Linked DNA regions of Nothobranchius furzeri. Each later gene encodes a partner of the first gene's protein in a complex. Links are inferred from orthologs where the notes say so. Each region holds a gene or a part of one and is shown in the gene's direction. Other genes may lie near its edges.

Evidence for each region.
Region 2: tbl1x (region 1) and gps2 share a complex: the UniProt entries of both Homo sapiens proteins name them as parts of the N-Cor repressor complex. The link is inferred for Nothobranchius furzeri from reciprocal best matches to the Homo sapiens genes TBL1X and GPS2.

What each region holds. Positions count from the first base shown.
Region 1 is NC_091754.1:23,372,938-23,376,691, reverse strand, and holds the start of tbl1x (F-box-like/WD repeat-containing protein TBL1X), read left to right. Parts: upstream 1-822; 5' UTR 823-963; intron 964-3,754. UniProt on the Homo sapiens protein: F-box-like protein involved in the recruitment of the ubiquitin/19S proteasome complex to nuclear receptor-regulated transcription units. Plays an essential role in transcription activation mediated by nuclear receptors.
Region 2 is NC_091742.1:53,241,975-53,245,255, forward strand, and holds the end of gps2 (G protein pathway suppressor 2), read left to right. Parts: intron 1-1,610; coding exon 1,611-1,700; intron 1,701-2,249; coding exon 2,250-2,342; 3' UTR 2,343-2,765; downstream 2,766-3,281. UniProt on the Homo sapiens protein: Key regulator of inflammation, lipid metabolism and mitochondrion homeostasis that acts by inhibiting the activity of the ubiquitin-conjugating enzyme UBE2N/Ubc13, thereby inhibiting 'Lys-63'-linked ubiquitination.

The sequences.
Region 1 (3,754 bases):
ATTGTGCATCGGCCTCCAAATAGTTTGCATGGTGAGCCCACTCAGTAATCTGCCCATGATTACACACTGTACCAAATCAAAATGCTGTCATTGTTTGCAAAATAAGTATTGCGCAGATTCTACAGTGTGTACGGTAACCAAAGGAATGTGTCACACTGATGTCAACTTGTTATTTACTTTCCAAATCTGAATGACTGAGCAAGGCGAAAGGAGAATTAATCAACCACTGTGTGACCAGGCAGGCGAAAAATAGCGTTGTGGGGGAAGGGAAGTGGCTTAAAGCAGGCCAGCATGCTGGAGTGTACTCAGCAGTGTGCTTAAACTACAAAACAACACACGAAAGCAATACAATAATATGTAGCAACTTGATACCATAAGCAATAGGAAATGTAGTTTACTGGTTAAATATAAACCCTAATTATAGAACTGAGTGATAAAAAATGCTATAGTTGCGTGTTTGCTTTACAAAACGAATGATTAAAGAAACACGTTATTATATCATGGCGTGTGGTGGCCCAGTTTAGCTAATTAAGTCAGTAATTAAAGAAAATTCCGTGTAGAGTATCCAGGTTTAAGGTCAAGCAGCCTTCACCCCACCTCCCCCCCTCTCGTGCGAGTCTCGCGCTGCTGAGTGTCTCTCTCCGCTCCCGGTTCTCAGTGAACGGTGAAACTCCACGGAACAGCCTGCGCCCCACAGCCACAGAAACTCGGGCTGGTTCCAACTTTTTTTTTTATTCCTCCTCTCGTGTCCGCCAGTTGTGACGGTGTCTGGGGCGAACACGCTCTGGTGGCACAGCAAAAATAAGCCGACAGTGAGTCATACTGCGCGGTCGGAACTTGAAATATGACGATAAGCAAGATGGGAGGAAAGTGTTTTCTCGCTTACTGAAGTTGGAGGTTCTCCTTGTGGAAGAGGAAGAGGTGGCGGCGGACACCACGAGTTCACTCTCACAGTAAGAAACGGTAAGCCCGGAGGCTCGAGGCGCGGCGATGCACTGTACCCGGACTGTTCCGTTCTCCCAGTTTGGGCTTTATTCGAAGCAGATAACGACTTTCAGAAATAGATGGATTATGGCGTAACCGGCTCGCGCTGACTCCACACGTGTGTTCCAATTCCTAATTGCGTCTTTTAATTTTCTCCTACATTGTTGCAAAGCCCAACTTTTTCTGCCACTTTTTTTAAATGCTCAAATTATGCAATGAGTCTTTGGAGTGCTTGACGAAATACACTTTTGATATGTTGTCCCTCTTTTCCAAGTAGTAGTTTCATCTATTTTGTCCACATTTGTAATAATGTCATCAACCAGCACATGCAGTTGCATATGTTGTTGTTTTAGGCTTCTATTTGAATGAAAGCATTTAAAATGGTCATGTTGAGTTAGGAAGCGCATGTGTGTGTGGGGGAAGGGAACGACTTGTGTTACTGTATAACTACAATGTTGAGCTGTACCTGTCAAGCTGCTGTAACAGTTTGGCCCAGACACGAGTTTATAACAAACCTGGCGTGATATAAAAGCGTATACATTAATAAAGTAATGGAGGAATGGACTTACACCTTTAAAATCAGGTCCAACATGGCCTTAAATTCTCAGTTTGCTAATTGAGGCATTAGCACAGTGTGTTGTTTGTTTTAACCGCACTATCCCAGTAATCCAAAATATAACTGCTTATTTAGTCATACACAAGGATGTGTTGTTGATTTCAAAAGTGGGGGGAAACAAATGGCTTGACTGGGGGGGGGGGGGGGGGGAGATCCAAACTGCCTTATGGCAGTGGAGGGGGGGTCCTCCCCAATAATGATCAATGTCTAATGTATTTTTTTTCACTTGACTATGTTCAGCCTTTTCTCAATAGTTGTGTGCAATATATGTGCAATATTGTATTGCACCTTTTCATTTTACATTTTTATGCAGTCAAAACCTGACCCAAGTGACCAATCAGCTGTCCATCTTTAGTAAGGAGACCCGTTGGTTTCCCATACATACGATTTAACAAACCACTAGTAATTAAAACTAGGGATGTCCCGATACAACTTTTTTACCTCCGATACAATACCGATATTGCAGCCTTCAGTATTGACCAATGCCGATATCAATCCGATCCGATATCAGCACCAATCATACTTATCTTTTACCTATTTCATGGTGTGGAATATATGAAAGGCTTAATCATGTGATATTACTCAATCGGAGAACAAGAGTATGAAAACTGTTGGTTGCAAAAATGTGAACCTTAACGGACTGCTTATATCGGAGATTTTTGGTGCAGTCCGATATAAACCGATAGTGTTTTTGGGCTGATAACGAATTACTTCCATTGCTAATTAAAATTCTACTTATATGCACCTGAAAGTAGTAGTGGAATTAACTATTTGTAGCACTTCCTGTTTGATGCATGATATTCATATTTATGCCAGAATGATCATGTGATGCAACATTGATGGTGATGTAAAGGTTTAGAAAAGTTTGTATCAACCACTTAAAAAAACTTATTAGAGGTGAATTCAACTCATTCTCAGGTTGGTTAGAATTATCTTGCGCAGGTAAGATATTGACTGTTCATAACATTTGTACATCACCTCAGTTTGAAAGATGTAAACTATCCCTTTAAAATGTTACACCATCCTCTTTGTTCTTACAATCGGGAGTAGCCAGGGGCATTTGTGAGGCATTTTGCCTAACTTATCTTTATTACCTTTGGCTAGTAACCTTTATTGTTTCTGTAAACACTCAAGCAATCAGCATCATGCTGCTTATTTACATATTACAGCAGTTCCTTCTTTTGTACCAGTGTTGTGTGGAGAATTTCATGTTTCCATTGGTTAGTTTTCAAAAGTGGGGTCTAACTAATTGCGTTGGTCATGCTCCATTTTGGACATCTTTTAGTTTTCTTGAATTGTGTTAACTGTACGCTGAGCACTACCATTCCTAAAGGACAACCAAATTGTATCGCCATGATTCATTCCTGTTGGTGACCTTTTTGTTTAGGAAGGCTTGAAATTGCACAGTGTACACCCATCTTATGTTAGTTTCTTTATGCTCAGTGGGTCTGAATTATGTTCCTAGCCTGCTTGAATGAGAGCAGATGAAATTTGTGGTTGAGATGACCCAGATGTCTGTCTGGGTGTCGTGTTTCAATCGCTGTCAGATGGAGCTGGAGCTGATAAATGTCTTCACTACTGCAGTCATTTGACACAGCTCTTGTGCATATAGTACCTTTTTCTACTGAAGACAAAAGGCCAATTTAGTTGGGGGGTTGTTGTTTTCTGTGGTGTACAGTTTAATATAAAAACATTGTCCAGCCTTACACAGTTTTAAAAAAAAGCCATTAAAATCTATTGATTGCAAGGAAGCAGAACTGAGCTGTATGGGAGTTTGTGTTAAAAGCAGAAAGCCAACTTCTGCGGAAAAGTAGGGCAAAGAAGTCCCCAAGAAAGCCTTTGTCAGTCTTGTGGTGCAACAATGCTCTGTTCTGAGCCATCCAAATATTTCTGTAGCAGTATTTATTTATGATAGGCCGTTGGGGGGAGGTGAGCCTTTCTCCACCCCCCTCAAAGAGGTGTGCAGTGTTCATGGGCAACCAGCCAACTGGCACATGAGTGGTTACTCTGAAATTACGCCCATACAAGTAGTGGCTGGTTGAAGGCCACAGTTATGCATTGCTTATATTTTTGATTTGGTTTGGAAGTGTTTTGTCATTGCGTGAAAAATAGTGTGACCTTATTTGTATCAAAACAAATCCACCTCCTCTTCAA
Region 2 (3,281 bases), on another chromosome or scaffold:
ATATTATGCAAAACTAACCTATAGCATCCCTTTGTGCTGCCATGTGAGTCTATACTGCCTCTGTAATAATAATATTGATTTATGAAGCACTTTCCATTATTTACTCAATGCTGGTGATGGTAAACTACTATGTAGCCACAGCTGCCCTGGGGCAGTCTGACAGAGACCAGGCTGCCTTTTTGCGTGATCGACCCCTCTGACCACCACCAACAAAGACAAGTTAAGCCGGGCGTACACTGTGCGACTTTTTCAATTTTTTGAGCCGATTTTCCAGTCGTGCGAGAATCCACGAGATCGGGGCGAGTTTTGCGCCGAGCGTCGTGTAGTGTACAGGGGGTTACGAGAGGCGATTAACACCACGTGACCAGCTACCGATCAGCAGTCGTGAGCTCGCACGGACTTCTGGCGTGTTTAATATTTTGCTCGTCCCTCGTGAGGGTATCGCACTGTTGAAGCGGCGCTGCGAGCAGCTGCAACCCAAAATGTATCAGAACCGCTCACGGCGCATGCGCAATCCTGCATCAACACCGTTCGCTCGCTATTTCCCTAATAACACACGTTGTCCGTTTTAATTTCTACACGTTTTTTACACACAAAGATTGTCAAGAAAGCGTGTTTGTCGTGTTCATGTCAAATTAAACTGATCACAAAACACAGATTTACTTTCTTTATTTCGTTTTCCTCATCCAACCCCCATAAATCCCTGTGCGTCCTCCTGCAGCACTCCTGAAGGACAACAGGCAAAACAAGACAAAAAAGTCTGACGTGTTGTGTAAAAACTGCTATTTTTAGCATATTTTTGGGCCGACCTGTTGCTACCAGACGTACAGTGTGAGCAGTCAGGTCGTATCCGAGAACTGGGTCGTGCAGTGTGAGCGCATGACTCGTGAGATCTGCCCTGCGAGGAAGTCGTACAGTTAGAGCTGAAGCTGAGTGCTACGAGTGAAAAAGTCGCACAGTGTCCGCCTGGCTTTAGGTGACGTGTCTTGCTCAAGGAAACAGCAGCTAAATTCTCTGCGGGGGGGGGGGGGGCATCGATCCTGCAAACCTACAATTACTCGACAACCCCGCTCTACCTCCTGAGCTACTGCTGTTGCCCTAAAAACACCCCAAATGTGAAAAATAAAACCTCCATCCGTTTTCTTTCAGTGTTTGGTTTTAGGAATTATGTGCCTAAAATGAGCTGTTTCCAAAAGTTCACATTTGTGATGTCACAACAGGAAAACCAGAATAGAGCCACTTCTCAGGTGCAAGAGAGAGGTGCTGCGGGGGGATCAGTGGCTCTATTACAAGCCTCCCATGGATGTCGGAGCCTCCCACCTAACCGTAGCTCATCAGGGGGTGGGTGGTCGTGGCCCACTAGCTTGTTTTCTTAAAGTGACAGAGCCCTGAAACGGCTCATTTAGGAAGGAACTGAAACCATCAAGAATAAAACAGCTGAAAGATCTTTATGTGGGAGGGATTTAGTGCAGACCATAGACTATTACACCTTAAGACAGAAGTCACAGTACATCCCCTTCAAACAAGAACGCCGCACTACAGCAGCTTCTCCAACCTGCACTTGAGTTTGCTGTTTAGTGTTTTGGTTCTGTGTCTTGTTGATGTTTCAGGGCGGTTTGAGGCCCATGCACCCCTCAGCCATGCATCCCTCAGCCCAAGGTCTGCTGCCTGCACCTATGGTCCAGATCCCTACTGCTAAGGTGAACCATACAAATATAAACACACGCTTTCCACCACCTGTTTTATGCTTCTTATAATCAGTGATGTAAAAATCAGCAACAATCTGCCCCGCTGTGTCACCTCTCAGCTGGCTAGTGCTGGGTTAACGGTGATGCGGACAGCCCATTAGTAGTGTTTACACAGGACTTTGTTTCTGTTGTAAACATGTGGCTCAGGTTTTGATAGTGATTCACCACCTCTCATTCTTGTTGTAAATATCTCCCTGAACAGCCTCAGTTCAGAGAAATGAAGGTCACACCGGACAGGACCGTTAAGCTAACAGCGAAAGTCTTAAAACCAATATTTCATGTAATGTTTAATCCTCCCACTTAGTCATTTAGATGGAAATCTGTTTCCGCAAGAGCATAAGTAACAGCAGGGATGTCCTGATGTTACCAAAACAAGGCTGTGTTGGAAAACGTACGTGGTAAAGGTTTATGGAGGTCACGCGTCAGTTTTCTGTTGCTGACATGTTTATAAATGAAACATCGCCCTTTTTTTAGGCGGTTTTGTTTTGTGTTTATGACCAGGCCCCCTTCCAGAGCTCTCCGCAGGGCACTCCTCGTCACAGCTTCCTGTCCCACAGCCAGAGCGGGCAGAGGTTTTACCACCATGGCAAGTAGCCCACAGCGCCCTCAGCATCCGCTTCCCGGACACTCTGGAGACGCCGTCGGACCTGGTCTTGATGTTTTAAACCTTTTTGATGTAAAGTTTGTACAGTAGCTTTCATCGCTTCTGGTTTAAAGTCCTCAAACTCGCACTTGTCTTTTTTGTTCTCACTACACTTTTAAATAGTAAATTTGTAAAATAACTGTATTACAGACCCAGAATTTTTAGTTTCTCCATAAATGATTGGAATTAGACCAATGAGACTGGTCCCGCACACATTAACTAGTTAAGCTTAAACACTTTGTCCCAAGTTTTTGTCTGTCCTCGGATGACCTTTTGTAACACGATTTGGAGGAAAACCAGCTGTAGCATAAATAAAGTTGGGTTATTTGGAATTATTCACTTAAATGTTGCTAAATAAACAAATCACTTTTCAACTGTTTTTGCCATTCTTTCCTTTTTATTGTTTGCCCACAGAGACGTCCTGCAAAGTCGGGCCTGGTTAAGTAAACTGCTGCTCTGAAAACAAATCTGTTCCAGGTTGGAGTCATTTCTTCCCAAAGTTTCTGCAAAGAGCTTCCCAGGAGTTGTTTTTGGACACAAAACAAAAGGAAGGTTGCGTTGTTCCGCATAGGCGCCAGGTGATGGAGCTGCTTCAGACCAGGTGTTGTGCAGAAATACGAATCCGCCTGCTGAACAGACCTCCACTGGAGATGAAGCCCTTCATAAATCAGGGATCAATAAAAAGAAAACACTGTCCCTCTTCTTTCTAAAGGTGATCATCTATTTTAAATATGCACACCTGTTCTGGTTTATGATCACGTAGTCGGGACGTGAACTGTGACCGAGCCCACAGGAGGGTCAGAAAACTGGAGAGAATGAAAAAAAAACGCAGACGAGTCATTAGCTCCCTTCGTTTCCATTGGTCTTGATTGCCCCTGAAACAGTTGCAA